Struthio camelus: one gene and its partners. The protein of the gene in region 3 interacts with the protein of the main gene of each other region in a biochemical or structural test. Links are inferred from orthologs where the notes say so. Each region holds a gene or a part of one and is shown on either strand. Other genes may lie near its edges. The genes, in order: KLF5, WBP2 and WWP1.

Region 1 (7,887 bases), on a different chromosome or scaffold from region 3:
ACGGCTGCCTGAGTAGTAGTGTTGGGCATATCTAAATCCGGTGAGCTCAAGAGCTGATATAACTGGCCTTGCTGGGGTGTGACAGAAAGATGAACATCTGGAGTAGGAAGCTCCTGCTTGATAAAAATGTTGTTCACATCAGGAGTTTGGTGAGAGCTGAAGATGCTGGTAAATTCAGGAAGGGCCTGAGTAGGGGCAGGGGTAGGGGCAGTAGTTTCACTCTGGTGACTGAAGATAGTGACTGGTTCTGTCTTGATGTGGGTCACACATGGTCGCTGAGATTTGTACAGGCCAGTTCTCAGGTGACTAATGTCAGGGAGGAAGACGTTCATGTTGATGCTGTAAGGCAACCCTTCACTGTCAGTGAAAAACTGGTCTACAACTGAGGCACTGTCTCTTCTGTATTTCTTATGTTCAGGGATGACAGGAACGGGTGGAAGCTGAGGTGCCAGATACTTCTCCATTTCACATCTCGTCTAGAAAAACAAAACAGATAATCCACATGATTCGTTATCAGCTAGCAAACAAGATGGCATTCAAGTCACGTGAGACTTTGAATATAACAAACAATACTGTTTAGCCAACTGCTGGTCACCTATAGAGGAATCTTTAAACAATTCACACTAACGAAAAAACTGCCTTTTATACCTGGCATGCTGATCAAAAACATCAAGATAAAATGATGGTGCGAGTCATCAATGTAGAACAACTGTTAAGACTGAGCTATGACAAACTTTTCGTCTTGTATGTCTACAAGAGAGTACTACGTACAAAAACGATAGGCTGCATGACTCACCTACAGATCTTGTACTTTGGAATTCACTGTTCTAACAAGGTTACTGCCTGTTTCATGCATTTCTCTTTGAAATGCTAACTCCAAAAGCCACATCCTCAGCTGGCTATTTGAATGCTAATACTTCAAACAATGTATGTATATATATGTATATATATACATACACACATATATGTGATGTTATACTTCTAGGATTTTTCATGCTTAAAAGAAAGTTATAAATATGACTGGTACCAAAGTGTAGAGTTATAAATCATACAGAATAAAAAGAGGACAGGTTGCCTACATTAGCTTTTCCTTTGCTTAAAGTGCGTCTGGGACTACACTAACACTTTTAAAAAAAGTCTGTGCAGCGTATAATTGGTTAATAACGTGACAAACGTCGTTATTCATGTCTCAGTCCTAGGAGAGCTCTTTAATTACTGGGAAATCATTCCCTCAGTGTAGTGGTGCTAGGGAATCCGTGGGTGGCTACAGCCTGATACATTACTGGTACAGTCATCAGCAAAACATTTATCATGCACTCTCCAGTGGGCAAATGCTACATTCCCCCTTGCCCTGTAAAGAGCGCGCTCATACCGAATCCGTTTAGCACCCTAAAAGAGAAAGCAGCTGACAAACAGCAAGTCTGCCCAAAAGTGGATTTTAAGACCTTTCTTCAAAGACCACCGGTAAACAAAACAAACAAACAAAGCAGCGCTCCCTCTCCTTTGATCTCGATCTGCCCGAACACGCCAGGCTACTTTTTCCAGCTCTTGTTTACAAGCCACGGGGCAGCCTGCTTTGAAGACAGTATTATTTATTCCGTGAGCAGGTATCACCGAAACGCAGCGCCTGAACGATCGCTGCCCTCCGCGCGGGGCGTTTACCGCGCAGCGCTGCCGCCCGAGCGGGCCGCCCCCGGCCCCCGTTTCGGAGCGGGCTCCTCGGCCGGGCGCCCCCCCGGGGTGGGGAGGGCCACAGGGGCCCCCCGCCGCCCCCCCGCAAGGACAGCGGCCGCGGCAAACCGCCCCAGCGACTCATGGTCACCGAAAGAGCCGAGGTCTGGAAATAAAAAGTCTCAAATTAAAACCGTTCGCGTGCTAAAATCAGGTTGCGGTTGGCGCTTTCTGCTTTTAGCTCTTCCAGCTGTTTTCATGTGGATCCGTTTCCAAGCAGTTTTCTGGGACGGGCAGAAAGTCCCGGGAAGTCCCCCCCCCCCCCCAACACTGAACATGACTCTCTGCGTGGGCGAGGAAGACAGGCGGTTGCTCTAATTCTGCTGCCGGGCAAGTGCAAAAGCAGCAGCTGTAGCTTTCAACACACTCGCAGGGGCAGCCCGGCTCCCTCCGCGCCCCCGCCTCGGCCCCTGTGCGGGCGGACGGGCGGGAGGGCGGCGAAGCCCGCGCCCCGCCTCAGCCCCGGCCGCGCCGCGGGCCGCCTCGGCCCGCCCCGGCCGCGCTCCGCCGGCGGGAAGGCGGCGGCCCCGGCGCCGCGCCCCTGCCCGCCACACGCGCGGGGCGGCGGCGGCCCCGGCCCCCCCCTCCCGACCCCCCCGTCCCGCCGTGCGGCGGCGCCGCCGCCCGCCCCGCACTTCAGGTCCGCTGCTCGCTGCCCGGCCCCACCCAGCGCCTCTCCGCAGCGGCCGCCGCCCGCGCGGCGCCCCACCGCGGCAGAGGGGCGGCGGCGGCGGCGGCGGCGGCGGCGGCGGGGGGAGGTGGTCCCTGCCTACCTGTACCATCTCCTCCGCCGGCAGGGTCGCGCTGCCGCCACCGCCGCCGCCGCCGCCACCGCCGCCGCCGCCCGGGTGTTGGTGCTGCTGCTGGGGCGGCGGCGGCTGCTGCTTCAGATCCTCTCCGGGGAAGATCGCTGCCTCCCTGGCGCCCAGCACGGGCTTGAGCTGGGCGAACACCGGCTCCTCGGGCTGCTGCATGGGACCCAAGCGGGCGCTCATGGTCAGCACCCTGGTGGCCATGAGGCAGGCTGGCTGCCCGGGTGCGCACGGACTCGCTGCCCGCCCTCGCTGCGCCGCCCTGACACGGCGGGGACTGGCCGGCGGCGGGGCTCCGGGTGGCAAGTGCGCGGCGCTCACTCCCCGCGAGCCCCGGCCCACGAGCGCATCCACTCCGGTGTCCTCAGTGCCGCCGCCTGTACCTGGCCGAGGGTATCTATCCTCTGACACATGCCCGCCTCTATTTCACCCTACCCCACCCCCCGACCTCCCTCTCCACCCCCCCACCCCCCCCCGGCCCGCGCACCCCACCCAGCCCGGGGAAAGGGGCCGGCCCTGCGGGCTGCCCTCCCTATGGGGAGCGCGGCGGGCTCCTCCCCGCGGCGCGCTGGCCACGGGCGGTGCAGCACGGCGCGGCGGGGCGGGGGGGGCGGCGCGGAGCGGCCGTTGGGCGCGCGAGGCGGGCTGGACGGCGGTGCGCGCGCGAGGCGGCCGTTGGAGACGGCTGAGGGGAGACCCGTGCCGGGTTGTTCCTGACAGCGGCGTGAAGCGGTGACTCGAGCACCTCGGGGGAAAGCAGCGTTACCCGGCGGAGCGGGCAGAGTGTCTGGTCGTTATTCTGAAACGTCAGGAGTCCCGCCTGGATCTGGCGCTTTACAAACCCGGATAATTTTTATTGGGGTTATTTGTTTCTAAGGCGGGCAGGGGGCATGCCGCGCGGTGCGGGTGGCAAAGTGGGAGATGGCTTTCAACACGCGCGGTTTAAGCAGTCTGGCGAGGCCCCTTTCAATATCTTAATATTATTTATAGTCTTTTAAAGAAGCGTTTCTGAAGTAGACATTTTTAAATAATCGTCTTTCATAGCTTTCATCTTCAAAAGGTTTTAAAACTAGTCACTCAAATTTTATTATTTTTTGTCCTGAAGGCAATTCGTACTCAAAACCTCCTGCTAATAAATTTCATTATTACAATATACATCTCCACTATGTTACTGTGAAAATGCTAATATAAAAATAGATCCGGGGAGAAGGACGAAGGGGAGAGGAAAAGAGATAGGGACAATTGTTTCGCTCACTTTTTTTTTTTTCCTCTGAGACGAGGCAAGTCTATTTACTTGTTTTTAGGTGTGGTTTCAACATAAAGCATATTTCATTGTAATCATCAGAGAGTGAGCTAAGTTCCCTCATATTTAAGTAAAGGTGGGACGCTGCCTTTCTATACAAGATTTCATCAATCACGGTTTCATCCAGGTTTCATGTGAGGCAAGTACAAGGCAAGATTTGTATGAGACAAGTACAGCCCACAAGTGGAGCCTAGAAGAAAAAAAAAGTTTCCTCCTTTCATCTTGCGTGCCAGCCCTGGACTCTCGGTTTGTATACAGGGAATCTGTGAATTTGCAGAGATGTGAGCAGCCTTTCCCTCTCCACGTTTCTGCCTTGTTATTTCAGACAAGACTTTTTTTAAACGTAAAAAGTATTTCTTTGGTCAGCTTTTCAGTCCCCTCCTATTTGTCTTGAGGTCCGTGGCAAGTGGGATGTTTCGGAGTCTGAACACAGAAAGCTAATTGCAGAACCAGGAAAGAGTTTAGCATAACATTTCTTTACACCAACTGTCTGTTTAGCAATATGTAGCCACTTGATGCTTCTTATTACCAAGGTAGATCCGGCTACTCCCTTTAGCGTAGCATTTAAAGTAATGCAGACTAATTTCAATCTAACACATATTCAGATTCATACGATATATAACTTTTGTATCCCTTTTGTATCCTTTTTTCCAAAGACTCCTCACTATTAATTCTTTTTTTCCATTCCAGCTTAAAACCAGGTGTGTTAACAAACGGATTTTAAAACCTTGTTTTGTTTTACTGTCTGAAGGCGCTTCATGTAACCGTGTTTAAACCCATCTAGACGTCAAACTATGATTGTGACCCTCTGAAATGACAAATTTGATATACAGTGCTCTCTTAAGAGCTTTAAAAATGCAAAACTAATAATATTGTTCTATGCTACCCAGAAATTAATTCATCTGTAATTGTCCTAGAAGTCCAGAAGGAATATAGGGCTAGGCAGCATCTCATGCAGCACACATATAAGTAACTTTCGGACATTCATGTAAATTGTATGGCTGTACTAATTTCTGAGACTTGCATACTTTAATTATATGCTTTACCTCCATCTGATTAAATTAATGATAAACAGATACTTTCAGAATTGTTTTTTTGTTTTGCTTTTGTTTTATATATGTACATTTAAAAAGGGCCTGCTCTGGCAAACACTTTGGCAGCTTAATTAGAATAGTATCACTGAGTAAAGCTCTGTATATACTTAACATTTTCAGAAGCGGCTTTGCATGCATTTAATTTTTTTGAAAGGACATAATTAAATCTGAACTGCAAGTAAACAAATGCAGTCCCTTCTCCATGTTTTTGTGCTAATCATGCGCCCAGTGCTAACAGTCTTTAGTCAAGCAGTGGTCAATGGAAGATTACTAAAGAATATAGTATTTTTAAAGGGTACTTTTTATTTTAGCATTTCTATTGTCACTAACACTTAACCAGACAGGTCAGGTTAACTCTTGTTCCTACTCAGATTCACTGTTTTATTTGACCTGCACAGTGCTGCACTATTTACATTACAGATAGTCTAAAAGAATGTTGAGATAAGTGAAAAATTATTTGGTATCATGCTTTAATAATTCTCATTCTTATTAGATTTTAGGCTTTTTTTTTTAACAATTTGAAAATTAGAAATAAACTGCTAACTAAGAGCATCTCCTAAATTAACGTTTAATTAAAACAGGAGTTCATAATTGATCATCAGAAAAATATAAGCTTACATTTATAATCCTTTTACAATTCCATTTCTTCACTGCTTTTGCAGGCAGAGTTAGAAGTAAGTTTATATTTTAATAGACAGATTTGCAGCAGAAAAGCCAAATGAATTATTTAAAACCCAGCATAGTTCTGTTTATGTAAATATAAATTTCGGCAGAAGCATTCAGGAATTACTGTAAGTGATCGTTCTTCTGTAACGCGACTCTGAGCATCTTAGAGAACTGTTGCATTATATATATGTTATAATATGCAATATGTAGAATATATGATATATAAGATATATGTAAGAAACATATATATGTGAATATATTATAGAATATAATAGATAAAAGCATAAAGATTATTGTCCCACCAAGCAAAAAAAGGAAATAAAACGCTTACTGGTTGGTACCTACAGCTGAATATATGAAGAGCACCTTGCAATGTATTTAGTTACTGATGAGAAAAAGGCAATACTCTGCACTTGAAAGAGCATTACCAGGTTTAATAAAAAGGGTTAAATTTTCTGAAACTATTTAAATGCTCCAGGTTCAGAGTGGGCAAGGATCCAGACATTCTGAATGAATGTAGACTCAATTACTTTGAACTCTCTTGTTCTTTGCATTCCTCTTCGCTTAGTAGTGCTATACCCATTAGGGAAGACAGGAGAAAACAAGAACAAATGTCAAGTTCCAGGCAGTTGGAAGCTTGGCAGTGGCGTATCACTGCACTGCCTTGTGGGGAGAATGGTTGGGAGCAAAAGAGTTCAGAATGGGTGGAATGGGGGAGGAGAAGTAGACAGGCCCTCTTTTTTTCCTAATTCACAGGTTACACAAGATGTAACTTGAGGGAAGACCGGGCATTGTCCTTGTGAGCAGGTAAGGTGCCAGAATTTAGGGGGACTTACGCATGCACTGTTTGGAGAGAGAGGGAAGAACTGGCAAGGCATGCATAAATTGTTTCATAATGATGAGGTGAGGGAAATCTGAGGATCTCAACTGGATTGAGATAGACTTTAAGCCATACTAAGATGTCCGATAATAATTTCAAGAGCTGTTAGCACATTCAGAGGTCTGTCCTGAATCAGCAATATCCACTTCATTTTTTTATATAAACTAACTAGAGAAGTAGAAATAAATACTCCACTTGCAAAATCAGTAGTCATCTGCACTTCTAGTTGCTCATTAGAATCCATCTCCTCAAGGGAAGAAATGATTCTGGTCTTAACTTTCTGTTTTTCCTAAGACAGCCAGTAGGATCCTTTTTTTCCTCAGGAAAGTCATTTTTCTCATTCTGACTTTCCACTGAAAACAAGATTGCACTAGCCACAAGGTACCATCTTAGCTCATGACAGGCTTTCAGAACATACATACATAATATAGCACCACCACAGTGAGGAATGTAGCAGGGTAACTTTCTGTTAAAGTGAATGTGGAAAATGATAACATGATAGTCTACTGCTGTGTACCTTTATCGTTGGTATTTCAGGATTAGCTTACATAAGTGTTCCTTTTTCTACTGCAAGGGGAAGCCTGGTTGCCATTTTTCATTTCACTTTACCAAAAATACTGTGATAAACCCTATAGAGAAAAGGATATTCTTCCTGAAATAACCAATAGCACTTCCTCATTAATTCAGCCTGGCGTTCTAGATAAAAAAAAAAACCCACTGCATCCTGACTTCTTTCCCCTCTAAACAATTTATTAGCCACGTAGTTCCACCCTTCTCTTGCAGTGTGCACAGTCTTACGATCAGGAAAATATCTGCATTTGCTCTTGGACCAGGCTTTATTGTGAAACACGTACAGAAAATTTGTTTGAATTTCCCAATCCCCCTGTATACCCTAGGACAGTTGAGTAAAAGCTTCTTGTTCCCAGCAGAATCTGTCAGGAGTTCTTTGCCATGCTGTCGGGAGTGAAGAGTTTATTTTCTCTTGACCAGCTTGCCTTTTTTTGTTGCTGGAATTTGCACAACATGTCAGATAGAAACCTCCTGAACATAGTGACTCCCGTATCAGAGAACTGAATTTGATAATTTTTGAGAATATAAAGATATAAACCTTGCAAAACAACCAATTCTTCTCTACTAGAGGTCAAAGGAGACTCACTAATGCAAAGCTGAATAAAGACAAATATAAAACAAGTATTATATGCCAGCTTCTCTTTTACCCAGTTAAAAATAAGGCAAAACTTTCAAAGCTGTGTTTGAAAGATTAGTAAAAGCACCTAGGTGCGGTTGTACTTGTGGTTTGTTTTTATCCTTTAGCTAAACATATTTTTCTTTCAATGTAAGTTAGAGTAGCAGTGAAGGTTTACGACAACTAAATGAAGGCATGTAAACTTACCCACAAGT
Region 2 (7,841 bases), on a different chromosome or scaffold from region 3:
AACAGCCCCTTGAAGACTCCTGAATTTCAAAATAGCCTGTTCTTTCCCCAGAAAGTGTCGTTTTTACTGCTAAGATACACTGGTGCAATAACATGCCTTTCCTTGAACTGTACAAGAAACTAATGACAGAGAACAATACTCTGGCGATCTGCATCTGAAAACCAACATAGGTCTTGGAAAGAATCAGAAGCGTTTTGCGTAGAAGGATCTGGATGAAGAATTAATAGATAACCCTAACTGACCAAAACTAAATGATATCCTCAGTCTTGCTGACACAGTCTGATCTCTGCTCCGATGTTCAGTCAGTGAGATCACTTGGCTGACTGAACTTAATATTTTGTACAGAGGGCAGGAATGAGATCAGTTACAGAACAGATCTCTTCATTGTAACTGTACAGGAAGCAGACAAGGGAAATATTTTTAGCTACTGGTTTTAAAGAAAGAAACACATTTTAGCGGGACTGTAAAAATCCATCTGGTCAGTATCCAGTTTAGGTCAAACTGGATACTTACTTCGCTGTGAATTAGATGTTCTCCATCTTAGTTCAACTGCACGTCTGTATAATACATACCTCCTGCCTCTGCTTTCACTGTACCCTTGATATAATTTGCTCCAAAAACAGGCTGCTTAATCTCACAATCTTTCAACAAATAAAAGGGCATCATGAAAGACTGCATAGCATCCTTTCCCTTTGATACAAAGATAACCTGAAAAGAAAAGAACATCACGAAGAGTGTTTAAAACAAGCAGGAAACACAGTTGAACTTCTTATTTGAAAAGAGTTTTCAATGCACTGAAGCTGCTTCCCACATCTGAAACTTCTAGTCAATTCTGCAAAGAGCAACAAGGCTAAACTAAAGCTTCAATGCAATAATGTAAAGTGCCTTCTAGAAACGTTATCCTTGCTCAGATAATACTCCTCCCAATTTCTAAAGAACTCCCAGCTCCACACAGCTATGATTTAGTAGCTTAACTGTTACATTCAGCACTTCCAGACCACTGCTAATTTCCAATCTTGAAGATGCCTGATAGAGTAAGCAGCTGTCTGTATAAGAACTAATCAGATTTTATCATCTTTTGACAAAGTGACTGGACGTGCAATGAATTCATAATGCTCCCCAGAGGGAGGGGATGAGCCATACTTCAAGCGGCAGTAGGTTATCCCAACTTTCATGCACTGAGAACATTTAAACACAGAATTGAAAAGAGCTCTTATCTCCTTAGGCAAGATAATGCCTTTTACTACTTACTCGGTAGGGAGTCAAGAAAACACTCCCTTTCTTGGTCCCTTTGAAGGCATCTGGCATAGGTTCGATATCACTGAAGGAAACTTCTATGTGATCATAGGTCATCAAAACGCTACAAACAAGACAACAAGAGAAGAGACACAGTGTTACAGCTCAACACTGTGGTTCAGCATGAATATAGTCTATTGACCAACCAAAACGAGCTTTAATCTCAGCCAAACGCTCAGCAGATGTATCAGTTTGACTTGTTTTTTTGTTGGCAGGAACAACTTAAGCAGTACTATCTACTTGTTCCCAGCCTTGTGCTTCTTCCTCAGTGTGCTGGCACTGCTACAGCCATTCGCATAGGCAGGTAGTGAATCTAGTCAATTAAACTGATCAAGATCTGATTTTTGTTTTTTTAAAAAACTTGCGTTGCATTTCTGCTGGATCAGTTCCCTAATTTGGTTTGCCACAAGCAACACAACAGAGGAAGGAGTGCAGAGGCAGGAACTGCTTAAGCTGGCTTATGCGACAAGGCTGTTGAGCGTCTAACCTCAGCTTAAGCACTTCTATCATAAAAACGCAATCAGAGGAACATCTCTTTTTTGTCACTAGAGTTTGTTAACCTGTGGTGTCCGCCCTGACTCCTTAATGCTCAATTAGAAACTGACCCGGTTAAAACGGGTGCAACACCCTTCTATGGATGCAGAAGGTAGCAGGTATTAACACAACATCCACACTAGACACGCTAACATTCAAAGCTGGACAAGCCTCTGCTGCATTTATCTTTGGCAACGTACATGTTACCATCCCTAGTCATTCGCCTTTCCCTTCTGCCAGTGGGTACTTGCCCCCACAGCAAAAGCCCAGGGAAGGCTGAGGGGGCAGTGGCTTTAGTCACTATACAGCATATGAGCCGAATCAACAATGCGCGCAGCTTGGGCTGCGGCACGGGCACGCATCCGCTTTGCCGGTTATAGCGCAGATAACTTCCGACCCCAGGTAGGCTGGCAGCTGGGAGCACATTAAGCAGCCAGATGTTTTACGTCAGCGAACGCAAACTTAAGCCACAGACAAGAGTTTCCCCGAATTCTCAGAGGAAGGTTCATACCCCTAATGGCAGTCAGGGGCATAACTCCCGTACCAATCTTCCAGCTGGCCTCACGGAAAGGAGCCCTGCGGAATGAACCCCTCTTCTGTCTCGGGAGCAGCTGACTGCCCCGCCGGGTCGGGACCGGGGCGCCGGGCGGGCACACGGGGCGAGGGCCGCCCACCGCCCGGCAGGCGGGGGCAGCTCCGTGGAGGCTTCCCGTTGCGCGGGCGGCAGAGCGGCGAGATGGGGGCCCGGGCTGGGGGGGGGGGGGAAGGGGGGCAACAGCCCGACCCCCGCCGGGGGGGGCACTGAAATGGTTAAACCCTCCCCCCACCCCGCTCCAGGCACGGGGGGCCCCGCCCCCACCCGGCCCGCGGCGCCCTAACGCTTCCCCCCGTGAGGGGAGGGAGGCCGCCCCCCTACTTCCCCGAGGAGATGGCGGCGGGCGCGGTGGGGGCACCTCACCTCTCGCTGTTGTTAACGATGACGCCGCCGCCCTCCGAGTGGTTCCTGTTCAGCGCCATGGCCGCCGCCGCCTCCTCGCAGCACCCAGCCTGCTCTGCGCCTGCGCCCGGCGGATAGCGGCCGCCCGTGACGTCACGACGCGACGGGGCGCGCTTCCCTCCCCCCAGCGCATGCTGGGAGTTGTAGTCCCCCTGCAGCCCAGCGGGCGCCATGTTCCCTCCTCAGCAGCCCTTAGCGCCCCGTGGGCTGCCCGGGACAGGCTGCAGCGGGGGCCGGGCCGGCTTGCGGGGCGCTCCCATCCCTTTTCTGCCCAGCATCAGGCCCCGCGGCCTCGCTCACCGCCTCCGTCGTGCCCCCCAAAGCCCCAGGGGCTCTAGCCATCCCTCAAGGCCTGGCAATCAGTAGGGCTTTTGTACAAAACAAGGGACGTTTGTGGGAGCGGGAGGCGGAGACGCGGCTCCCTCGCACCGCGCCGCTCTGCCTGGGCCTGAAAGCTTGTCTCTGTTCCCCAGCTGCTGAAGTTAGCCTCCTAAAATACGCTACCTCTCCCAGCACGTTCATGCCGACAACGGCTCGCCCTCGCTAAAAGCGGGAGCCCCGCCGGGCTCGCGCGTGGCCCTCAGGGCGCCCGCCGCGGCTGAACGGGGAAATGTTTGCGGTGGATACCGAGGCGAACGACAAATTCCTCCCCGCGCTGCCCGGCGGCACCACGTGCGCTTGGTGCCTTACAGATATTCTAAGGGATTCCAGCCGAGAGCCAAAAGTCAACTGTTTTATAATCGCTTTATACTCAATATTACTTTTAGTGGGCTAAAAGTCGCCGTTCATATGTTATTAAACCCCCTCTTTATGCTCTCTGCAGGGAGCAGCAGGGATAATCCGAAGATCCGCTCTCCTGCTCCTCGGGAGGACTCTCTGAAGCGCTGAGAAACCTGTTAATCATCTGGTTACATGTCCCTCTCACCGTATATAATAACACGGTTTAAGTTGTTTGGAGCCTGCTTGACTCGGCCGCGGTCTTCCTGGCTTCCCGTTTCAGACGGCTCCGTGGCGTTCGCACGGGCGCCCTGGAAAAGTTGCGCTGCCTGGGTAGGAGCCTGCAAAGCAAAAAAAAGCAAAGCAAAAAAACCTCTGGCACTGCTCAAATTGCCGTTTCGTCCTAAAACGCTGTATTTTGTTGCGGCTTGCACCGTCGCTTTTTCCCGAAGGCGTTTCCAGGCCAGCCCGCTAGCACATGAAATATTCGCTTTTCCTGGGATGTCGTCCAGTTTAACATGTAAAGGGGGAGCTGTTTGCATGCCACGTGCAACCATAAGTGATTTTAATGCTGCTTGGCAGGATCTCCCAGGGAAAAGCCAGAAATAAATGAAACGGAGACAGAATTGGACTCTCAGTAGGTGGCCAGGGCAAATTCAGGTATTTGGTAATGCAGAGTAAAAAAAGCATCTCAGATAGCTGGTGATGCTTTATCTAAAATGAGGCCCAGTGCCTTTCACAGCAAGGATGCGTAGAGTTTCCAACTGTTTTTCAATTCAGATGCTTGACGCACACGTTGTGTTACAGATGCTTGCAAACAGACTTTGGAGCCCAATATTAAATGCTCTCTGTGCAGAAATCACCCTGCTTTTGGTTTGTAAAATTAAGCCTTTATCTTCAAGAGAGTTAAACTGAAGGGACTCTAAGGCACGTCTGGAAGAAATCTGGGAACAGGAAAATATCTGTGGCATTTGCATAGCTATACTATGAGTATAGTCTACTGCCTCCAGGTGGGCAAGCAAGGAGGTGGGAGTAACTTTTAAAAAATTATGGTTGCATACTTTTGTTTAAAATAGAAGCCCTTTAAAGCTAATCAATCTGTTCTGAACATTTCTTCATATCAATAACCTATATACTATGCAAATATATTGATAACATATATTTTTCTAAATTACTTTTAATGGATTTGAACTTTTCCCTGCAGGGTTTGCAGCCCAGCCCCCTCCAGCCCTGCCTGAGCACCTAAGAATCAGATGGAGTAGGGGAAAGGAGAAAAGCTGCATAATGGAAACCAGATTTAAATAAATGCAGTGACATAATCTGTATAGTTCTTGGCAAGAAAAAAGCAAAGTTGTGCTTTTCATATCCGCTTTTTAATAAGCTGTAAGTTTCCCTTTTAAGAAACTGTTATAATAAACAGTCCTGATTCCTCTCCTATTAAAGGCAGTAGCAAACATCCACTCAGCTTCCACTGAAGTTCCCAGCTGAAGCACTGCCACCTCTCATGAGTCACAGCTTGCCCGATAATGGTGTTTTTCTTGTAGAGGTTTGGTATTAAGAAACTCAGCCTTTGTTTAAAAAATGCTACTGGTACAAGTGCTTGTGTGCGTGGAGATCTCTGGACCGCCTCATTACATAAAAAACGTTGGAAATTTACACTCTAAAAACTTAAAACTCTAAGGAAAAAAGTGCCTAAACTACTTAATTTCATTATTGTTAAGCTGAGGACAGAGGTAGAAGAGACCCAAAGAGAAAAGTGAGACAAGTTAATATTTTGAATTGCCCAGGACTGGCAATATCACTATTGGATTCTAGGATTCTTCCATTCCTTTTGCAATCGAGCAATAAAAATAAATATTTGGCTCAATTCCTTTTGACACACGTGGAAAATAAAATCTCTTGTTATTTTAAGCCAGATGTACAGGACACAGAAAAATAAACAGGAGGTAATCGGACAACTCTTCTAGTTTGGTATTTAAAGGAAAGACAAACCAAGAGCTATGTCTGTATAATATTTAATGGCAATTCATAGTCTCTAATATCATTATATTATTCCGTTACAGTTTCTTCACACACTGTAAAAGACTCTACAGTAACTGTATATTTAAAAAATAATCCTAATTAAAAAGAGGAACACTCTGTGACAGCAGAAATAACTCAGGAGAACACAGAAAGGCTATTTAAATTGCACAGTGCTATCTATCTAAACCCACCACACTTATCCTTTCATTTGCAGCAAAAATCAGAGATCCAGGGTTGGTGTAATGCACATTTCCTAATCATTCCAGTTTACACCACAAATTATTGGGAAGACAGGATCAACGTGTCTGAGCAAACTCTGGTCCAACAGCCTGGAGGATTGTTCCCATCTGAAATTGTTTAGAATTTGCTTTATGCCCTGAAACATGAGGATTTATAGCACTTTCAACCAGAATGAAAAGCAGCAACAGGAAGGGGAGGTTTTGATAATGCTTTCCAGCTGCATCACATCTACAGAAGCCCTTGAAATCCTCTGTAAAGCTGTGTATCCGCATCCCAGCTAATGAGGCAAAGATGAATTAAGCAACTGGCCCTCGACCGCAGAAAGCCAAGGCACCACCGGAAGCAGAGCCCGGACGCACGGCAATTCCCCCTTGGCAACAGGGACAGAGAGGAAAGGGAAAAGCGTAGGATCCCTCCAAGCCATCCCAGACCCTGCAGGGGTTCAGAGACTTGCATCTCCGCGTTGGGCGCGATGGAGCAGGGAGGGCTCCGCGGCTCCCCAAGCGCGCGGTCCCTCCAGGGTGTAATCGAGCTGCCTACGGCCATGCAAAACAGGGCAACGGCCCAGATCTGCTCTGTTTACTCTGGCAAAACTCCTCGCTGCAAACGGTGGGAGTTTCGCCTGAATAACAGTCACATTTGGGGCCCAGACAGAGCCGAGATGTTGGCCCACAAGCAGGATCTCTTCCTGCAGGCGTTCAGCAGAGATCAAGGTTACCTTCCTCTTCCTCTTGGGACACAGCCAAGCATGGGCTGTTGCACATCTCTAGCTCTTTAATCTGGTTACACTATTTCTGATAGCGAGTCCTCCCTGGTGTTAACAAAACAGCACCCATCCCTGTGCTATGTCACCGCCGACAGCTCACGCAAAGGCAAAGATTGGCAGGAAAGGCTGGCGCGAGGGAAACAAAGCGTTTTTGAGGCAGGAGCTCAGGACGCGAGGAGCACAATCCTGTCCGGACACGAGTCCAGGCAACATTCCCACTGACCAGCAAAAAACCGAGATTTCATCCGAAGATTTAGCGCTGAAAGACATACCTTCCCTTTTCCCACCGCTTGCAGGGTTTCAGGGCTCACCGCCTCCACCAGGTCCGAGATACGGGCCCCGAGAGCACCTAGGGCAACGACGGCTGATCCTTCCAGCCCTCCGTCCCCGTGCCCAGGGCACGGGGCGGCAGCAGCGCTCGGCGGGGGGCTCAGAGCTGGCACATCAGTCCGCCAGCTGCATTCGCACCCTCCCGTCCTCCCGCTGGGACCCGATAGCGGTGGTCGTCGCTGGCACGTCCAGCTTGGACGCGCCGCGGAGGTGGTAGCTTTGGCAGGGGGACGGACGGGCAGCCGGAGAGCAGCCCCTCTCCCTGCGGTAGCAGGATTTGGCAGCGCCGGTAAATCAGGGCCCTTTGACTAGTTACAGTAAAGGAGCTCTTTAAGCCTCAGTGTTTATGTAAATGCGGCTTTAGCTTTAAACCTCTTGGCCATGTGTCTGCCTTTTCTCCCTGGCTCCCCTTGAATATACTACTATGATTTCCAGCTCATCCTCTGGGAGATATATATTTTTTCATATATATAGATAAATGGGCCATTTTCCATGCCTTTGGAGGCCGATGCGTCATCAGTGACTCACTCATGCCAGAGACGAATCCGACCGATTCGTCGGACGAATCCCTCTCTAGTTATATATTACACAGTACACAGCATTAAGTTTTTGTAAAGCAAGCTTCAGGAGGTAGGTAACAAACTAACCCCAGAAAAAATAAACTTCTAGAAAGGCGCGCTGCACCGAGACAGGGAGCTGCCTGTGCTGCCGTTAGCAGCAGGATTTCCCTGCCGCCGCCGTCACATCTCCAGGGCGGCGGACCTGAAAGAGCTCCTTTAGAAAACGTGAACTGCCATCTAGCCTCAGCCCGAAGTTTCCACCTTTGCCAGACGGGATACTTCCTCGAGAGTTGTTTTTGCTAACTATCACTTACTGCCAGAGTTATACAACCGACATGTAGCTCCCAGCTGTCCCTAAAACACACCGCTTGCCCCCGGG
Region 3 (7,915 bases):
AAGGATATTGTGTTACCAGTAACTTTCACCCCTCCTCTTCTGCCCTTTTGAGGAAGCAGAGTTTTTTTAAACCAAGTTAAAAGAAACTTCCATTCATTACTTAAGGAGGGCTTACAAGAGACATTTCTTAAAGTTCGCACTTGTCTATCCCTCCATCCATTCCCCCTCCAAGTCTTCTTGCTTCTTTATCTGGATTCTAGTCAAATAAACTCTAGAATGAGCTTCTGTTTCAGCAAAAAAGCTAACCACGACAGTTTGGCCTAATGGCATAAATAGTAACCATTTTTAACTAATAAGTATGGCCTAGTTCATGAATTTTTGATTAAAGTATCTGAGTTTTGAAATGCAGGGTTTTATTGGCATAGAAATTTGGGGAAAAAAATGAATAAACTGAACACAATACCAGCTTCCCATCACAGATGATGTTTTTTGGACACAGAATAGTAGAAGGGAAAGAAGAATCTCTTTCCCACACACACATTCTTTTCAAGAGTAAAAGCAGAAGAGTGACTGGGTAGAAATTCCAACTTATAATATGTGTATGGAAAAGAAAGAAGGACACAAAAAAAAAGAAAAAGCAACAGAATTGGCAGGCACTCCTCCATCTTCCAAGGGTTCCACAGAATCAGGAGAGGGGATTGGCTCTGAGGCCTGTGGGTCTTCCCACAATTTAAGAAGCGCTTGAAGACAGGTAGTTATTTTAACTTTATTGCCAACCCTTTAAAAAAAGGCACAAAGTTCACTTACAACCTTTTGTTCATTGATATTTAGCAACAAATGTAAATTAATTTCACCCAAAAAAATAGTTTATATCCTTTAGGTAACAAGGTGTCCCATGCTGACAGATCTCACCCTTGAGTATTTAAAACTGCTTGCATGATTTCAAGTAAAATTATGTATTTAAGGGAACTAATCTATAGTATCATTGGAAAAAGACTACTGATAGGAAGATCTACTAACAAGAAGCATTTACAGGATCAGATATTTAAACGAACACTTAAAACGGGGCCCAAAGAAGTAACAGAAGGATTCTGAAAACACAGATTGGTTTATAACCAACATTAGTTCAAAATATTTCTAGCTGTCCTATTTTAAAGCACCTTTGACAGCTTTCCAGATAAACTGCTTTTACAAGCTGTAAAATCCTTCTTAAAAGAATGAAAATCCCTAAGATTTTTTCTACGCAAATTTCTTAAATCTTCACTATTAAAAATCAATGAGAAATAATAATTCAGTTCATATGTCCATTTACACAGACTCAGATAAGACAGCACATAAAATTTTAAAAAAGCCCAAGTGACAAGTTGCCACAGATCATCACTAAGCAGTTTATTCCTATGTAACAAAGGGATTAAAGCAAAACATAAATTTTAAGCAGAGATTGTTATTATTACTATGAAGGCTATAAATATATATATATATATATATATATGCATGTATCTCATACATGTGAGGGACAGCCATATTTAACCCAACTGCCTGCATCCAGTGAGAGTATCATTTAGCAAGCCAGTGTTACTAAACTTGCATAACTTGAGTTTTTTAATGCAAAATATCCTGATGATTTTCTATTGGACGCAGGAACTATATGAAAATATAGCTGAAATATGAAGAGATCCTTTTTCAGAGTTTAATTCAAACATTGAAGGGCTCCATTAAAATTATTAGACAGGGTTAACTCCTTTTCTCTCTTTGACATACAGTTTAAACATTTATAGACCTGGAAGCAGAGTGAGATTACCACAGTTTAACTTGGAAGAGAACTGGTATTGTTCCAAAAATAAGACACATACTGAAAAATCAGGTAAATGAACACTTATGCTAAGTTGTAGGATCTTGTCATAATATAAACAAAGATCAATGACATGAATAAGTGTTTCAACATCTCAAATTCACACGGTCTTTTCAGCAAATCTTGCATTAAGAGAATCAGAGAGACTCGCAGACTTCAGCAGTAACAGTGATGACTTCCAACCCAGCCTGTGTCCCCTCCTGCCCCCTACACATCCTGTGAGGGATGATGATGATAGGCTGTGGGGTTACAGCAGCTCACTACAGAGGGGAGACTGCTCTTCACCTCCTCCCTCCGCTGTTTCACCAAAGAAAGGTGAACCCGAAACGCAACAATATCTTTCTCCTTTGCCTTCAGCTGGCACAGAATCAAGCAGGGTCGACCCCGCAACTGGTTCACTGCCTCCCAGATACTAACACCTCTCGCAACCCACTTGGCGTTGACACGGGTCAGGACTCAGCCCTCAGTCGCCCTCTCTCAAAAGGCCATAGACAGGAATAAACAAGGTTATTCGCCTGACATCGGATACCAGCCACACTCCCCGCTCCTTTCCCCCCCGCCCTGTACCTCCACAAGCCCACGAAAGTACCGACCCTGCTTCCCGGGCCAGGTGTGGGCCAAGAGGCCCTCCGCCCTGTCCAGACATGAGCCGGAGGGGAGGGGGGGGACACGGCAGTCCTCCCGCCACCAAACGGGGAGACTGAGGGAGGGAGGGGGAGAAGCAGCCGTCGCCACCCCCTCCTCCAGCCCCAGCAAGGCCCAGGGTGTGCGACGAGCTGAAGTGCCGGAAAGGAGAGAGAGACCAAGACCTCGCTACAGCTCCCTTCGCCATTTTAGCCCCCACGCCCATTCCCCTCCTCCCCGCCCCTCCGTGACAGGGGCAGCGGGTACCCGTCCAGAGCTCAACCCCCCACCCCCCGCCCTGGCCGCCCCCGCTCCCCCCCAGCCCCACCGCGGCCGCCGCAAAGAAGACAGAGAAAAACTGCAGCCGTTTTTCTCCTCAGGCCGGCCGGGCTCTGTCAGGCCAGATCGCAGAGCGAAACGGCTGCGGCGCAGCCTGTTTTGTTTCCTTACCGTGGTTCGCAGCTTCAGAGCTGCTGCCGCTGCCGCTGCCACCTCCTCCTTCTTCTTCTTCTCCTCCTCCTCCTCCTCGCCGCCGCGGCTCCTCACCCCTCCGCGCCACGCTCCGCCGCCGCCGCGCAGAGTGATGCCATCTCACAGCGGCATCGGCGGCTCGCGCACAACAACCCCCCTCCCGCCGCGGCTGCTCCCGCCGCCGCCGCGCGCCCCCAACGGCCGCGCCAGCCTCGTGCGCGCGCCCCGGGCAGCGGCAGCAGGAACTTGTGGAGCCGCCGCTGCCGCCCGGGCGAAAGGGCCCCGTCGGAACCAAGTCGTGCGCAGCGGCAGGCAGGCAGGGAGAAGGCGAGTCTAAAGCGAGGCCCTTCGGGAGGGAGAGGGCTTATTCCTAGCGCCTGCCCCGGGCTGAACCAACTTGGGTGCTGCGACGGGGAGAAGAGCCGAGCGAGCTGAATCAAGCCCTGCGTAAACAGGGGAGGAGCGGCCCCGGCCCCCAGCACCAGGGCCCCGTTCCCGGGGGAGAGCGTGCACGGGCAGGATAAGGGAGGCTTCTGTGAGTCACTGCCCCCCGAGAAAGCCGCTCTGCGCTGAGAGCCAGCACACCCCGGCGGCGAGTAAGTGATAAGGGAGGGCTGCCTGCTCCAGCCGCCTCCCTCCCGGGCTGCGCGCACAAGGAGGGCCGCCGCTACTGCTGCTGCTGCAGCCGCCCCCGGCCGTCACACCCTCCCCGCCCGGTCGGGAGCAACCAGGATCCGCCTGGTTGGTCTCTCTCCCTTTGCATAACTTCTACTTTTCCTATACTTAGGATAGAGGAGGAGGGGGGGAGGGAGGTCGGTTCCTCCCCGCCCTGAGGGGGGCTGGAGGGACCGGTGGAGCAGCAGCAGCAGCCCACGACGGCCGTTGGGCAGCTGGCAGGCGGGGCCGGCGCGCGGGGGCCGTTAGGGCCGTTAGGGCCCTGGGGAGGGGGAGGGGTGGTTACCTGCCGCCGCCGCGGCGCTGGCGAGGACTCCGCTAGAAAAGGCCCGGGCGGGCAGGCGGGCGCTCCCCGCAGGCTGGCAGCCGTGCGAAGGCGTGAGGCGCGTGTCTTAACGTCGGAGGCCGAGGAAGCTTTAGCTCCATACGGGACGGTATGTGGAGGCAGTGATAACGTGGACTTTCGGGTATGAGCAAAGCCTGGGAGCGGTAGCGTCGGAAAAGTCTAGCACCACCGTTAATTGGAAGGAAGAAAAGCAAACGCCAGGAGACCTTGCAGGAATTTCTAACAAAGTCTGGTATTTTGTTGCTTTTTAAGAGACGAATGCCCAACAGCCTCATCTGGGCATGTATGTTCCTTCACAATACATAAGCGAGTATCTTAAAAATAATACTTTCCAACCTATTCGTTCTTTATACAAAATCAATAGGAATACCACAAAGTCTAGGGGGTGGAAACAAAAGGTTGTGGTCTGTTCAATTTTAGGAAACATCTTAGACTAGACTTTTATAAAAGTCTAGTCTAGATCTTCTGTCAGAATTCATCATGGGCAGTAAGATTAGCTGTTTTCAGTTAACAGTGTGATTAATCCATTTGATATGAAGAATTCAAGAAATATAGTTTTCTCTACATCAGCTAAAACTTTTAAAGAAGATTACAATCCTACTTGTGTCCTGAGTTTGCCCCAAATTAACTACTGACTTAAATTAGGAAACCAATATTGCTACCCTTTGGTGACGCTTTGAGATTCAGCTAGTAATCTCCAACAATTTTTCCTTCCTGTTTTAATTTGTTGTAATGTAAAACAATCTAACAGAAATATGCAGAAAAACATCTGCACTTTAAGTAAGGACACTTCTTAATGGGGAAATAAGTTTATATTTAGGAACTTACCGTTGAATGCAACATTGCATTCCCAGCAGCCAATGGCAGGTGAAGGTGTAAACGGTAAATATGCAGCAGCTCCACTGTGGTTTACAGTAAAAAAAAAAAAAAAAAAAAAAAAGTTTGTAATGACACAGAGGATAGTGATTATTGCAAGTTTCTTAAGATGGATCAACTCTTTTCTCAGTCTTCTGTAATGTAAAGAAAGGCTGAAGAGAGGAGGAATTTGTTTTAATAGTATTCTGTGATTCTTGCTTTTTCTGATTCTGCTCTGCACATAAGCTGTTAATAGTTCTACTGAGGTTCTCCTCTTTCTAGGCTTTGTTTGTTGCTAATATAAGTAGCCTGATATGAATACTTGAAAAATATGAACATTATTATTTTTTGAGTAGATTATATATGTAAAATTGCTAGGTGCTTTTTTTTTTTTTTGCTGTACAAAACAATATTTTATGCAGAAGTTAGGCTTCTCTGGTTTGCCTCTTCCCTGTTTCAAAACAAGCTTTGTCATACATTTGTCTCACCCTGGGGTATAGTGACATCCTAAGTATTAGTCCCTCTTAAAAGACATTTGATACACTTATAAAAGCAAAATGTCCCAAATTTATTAATATCATAAGTTTACTTTTAAATATCTCATAAAACCTCAAGATTCTTTCATCTTTCAACTAGGTTTAGGGCAATAGGTAAAAAGTAGTAGTATATATGTAAGGATTGGAAACCATACATTGAAAACTAACTGAAAACATTTAAGTTATACTTTGTTAAGAATCTGAAAAAGTACAAACACAACTTTCTTCATTTTGCAGACAACCTTTGTTTCTTCTACTGCGCAGTGATCAGTAAAGACTACTGGTTCTGTTATACAGTGCTGAAGGCTAGGAGGAATGAACTTAAATTACTAGTTATCTCATTAAGCATGTAGACAACCATAGCCTGTTTCAGATGTGTTGTGTGAAACTCATGTTACAAGAAATATGTTTGTTTGTCTGTTTTTCTAGTTGCAGGTTCAGTTGAGGCAGTGCTTCAAAGCTTTACTGTTATTTAGGCGGCTGAAATCTACTGCTGACCTCAGATAAGGTCTCAGAAGTCACTACATATGTCAACCAAAGTTTGAACTTCACAGAAGTGGTTGCATGAGGTTTTACCTGAAATACAATATAAAAGCAGTTTCTGTATGCAGTATTCTTGAGGTAGTCATTTACAAGTTTACTGAATAGTTTTAAAAAAGTCTCCTAGGGTATCTTTCTGAGTTTTCTCCCCTGCCTTTTTCCCTGCAAAGTAAGGACAATTTTGGAGAACTCAGAATCAAAACTGAAATCTACAAAATATGCTGGAGTATGTAATACTTAGTATAAAACTTAGATATTTATAGATCTTTTTGTCTGGAGTGGTTGAACAATGTACATTTGGCAAGCATGAATTTCAGGATGGGGTTTTGGAAAAGGTAGGCTGTAGCAGACTGGTGTGTCTACTGGTTGGCGTTGTATCTTGCTTTTCAGAGAACATTGTTGTTCCTCCACACAGAGGATTAGTAGTGAGCGTTGCTAGCCTTTAACTAGAAGGCCAGTGACAATAGTTTTGTTCAAACTATACTTGTGGAGAAATCTTCTAGAACTTGATAGGGATGAAAGCTGTAAAATTCTAAATGAATGTCTTTACTAGCACATAAAATTAATATATAATAATATCCATTTAGGCTTCTGCTCTTTTTTAATTTCTTAGGCATCTTACCAAAGTCCTTTGTTAACCTATAATCTCCTGATAGTAGAGGATGAGGGTGAAACCAAATCTTTCTATCTTTAGTAGACTGAAATACAGGCTGATTTCACCTGAGCACAGGCATGCAGAACTCATCTTTTCATCTTTCTATATGTGTGGTTTGGGTGTTTGAACTGAGCAGAAGGTTATAATGAAGTCTTAAACGCGAATGGTTAAGTTAGTTCCTTGTGCAGCCCTATCTTCCAGCTGTGGAAAATCCAAAAAGCTCTATTTAATGAGAATAGAGGGAAGATTTCTCTGGCAATTGTTGATGTGTTTTATATGGAGACTTTATTTTACAAAACTCATACAGAATAAAAGAGAACCTTCAAATAAGTTTATTTGGACCATATCCAGAAAAGCACTTAAGCACCTGAAATGGGATTTAGATAGAACTTAAAGTTCTACCTTCAAGAGCACAAACCACAGAACCTTGTACCTGTAGTGGCCCAAGTCTTTCGATGGTTGTAGCTGGCATCTGTAAGCATGTACAGTAAGTAGTTAATGTCTTGGTTGCACCAAAAGAGCTGATGCTTGACTTATGCCTGTATTTGTTTAGGATCCAGAAAGTAGGTCAGGCATCATCTAAAATCCCTCGCGGACTGGATCTAGGAAGCATGGTTAGAGCATGCACACAAAGAATCTGAATTTAACCAAAAGATTCTATAGTTGTGATAAAGACAGAAGCAGAGGCAAACATGATAGCAATGATCACCAGGCTACAGAATCACCATGATTAGAGAACTTGGGACCTGGAAAACCTGCATTCTGTGCCCTGCTCAGCTTTAGTAGGTCCAAACCAGTCTCTTTTCCCACAGCAGTAGCATCACCAATAATTTTTTTCTGATTTGGAATCAGGGCATTCTTCATCCCTCCTCTGCTGTCTGCATGCAGCTTCACAGAGGCACATTGGCAGAGTGCACGAGAGTATTGCTGAGTGACCCAGCAATTAGGAAACTTAGCTGGAACAGGTGGAAAGTCTTAGTTTCTGATCTGTCTTCTCACCACTGTTTGCACATTTTAACCAATAGCTTTTCAATGCACAATACTGGTTCCTGTTCCAGGACTATAAACACTCCCTATAACAACTGAATATCTTCGTTGGCATGCTGTCAATGTCATCTTTTTCTCTCATTGCATAATTATTACATTGTGAAGTCAGGCTGAGTAAAATATAGCCATATATACATTTATATATATAAATACATATATATAAAAAAGTGTATATCTCTGTAAAGTTATCAAAAATATATCGTCATTACAAAATATCTCCTTTATGTGGGAGGTAAGGAGCAGCTTTTTGTCGTAATGGTGGTATATGGTTTTTTTGACATACTTAAAGTAGAATCCTGCTTTAGTCATTTTTTTAATGTGTATATTTTAAAGCCTCTCTAGTTTTGCAATGGTTAGGGAATTTGCTGTAACTT

What was found.
Region 1: of the proteins of WWP1 (region 3) and KLF5, one has a biochemical effect on the other in vitro, tested with the Homo sapiens proteins (4 studies listed by BioGRID, with this or other methods). The link is inferred for Struthio camelus from reciprocal best matches to the Homo sapiens genes WWP1 and KLF5.
Region 2: of the proteins of WWP1 (region 3) and WBP2, one has a biochemical effect on the other in vitro, tested with the Homo sapiens proteins (2 studies listed by BioGRID, with this or other methods). The link is inferred for Struthio camelus from reciprocal best matches to the Homo sapiens genes WWP1 and WBP2.

Annotation. Positions count from the first base shown.
Region 1 is NC_090942.1:178,477,445-178,485,331, forward strand, and holds the start of KLF5 (Krueppel-like factor 5), read right to left. Parts: upstream 3,025-7,887; 5' UTR 2,748-3,024; coding exon 2,505-2,747; intron 477-2,504; coding exon 1-476. UniProt on the Homo sapiens protein: Transcription factor that binds to GC box promoter elements. Activates the transcription of these genes.
Region 2 is NC_090960.1:8,821,679-8,829,519, forward strand, and holds the start of WBP2 (WW domain-binding protein 2), read right to left. Parts: upstream 3,016-7,841; 5' UTR 3,001-3,015; coding exon 2,789-3,000; intron 1,361-2,788; coding exon 1,252-1,360; intron 709-1,251; coding exon 573-708; intron 1-572. Other genes in the region: E3 ubiquitin-protein ligase TRIM47, read right to left, coding at 3,771-3,885. UniProt on the Homo sapiens protein: Acts as a transcriptional coactivator of estrogen and progesterone receptors (ESR1 and PGR) upon hormone activation. In presence of estrogen, binds to ESR1-responsive promoters. Synergizes with YAP1 to enhance PGR activity.
Region 3 is NC_090943.1:152,425,644-152,433,558, forward strand, and holds the start of WWP1 (NEDD4-like E3 ubiquitin-protein ligase WWP1), read right to left. Parts: upstream 3,071-7,915; 5' UTR 2,867-3,070; intron 1-2,866. UniProt on the Homo sapiens protein: E3 ubiquitin-protein ligase which accepts ubiquitin from an E2 ubiquitin-conjugating enzyme in the form of a thioester and then directly transfers the ubiquitin to targeted substrates.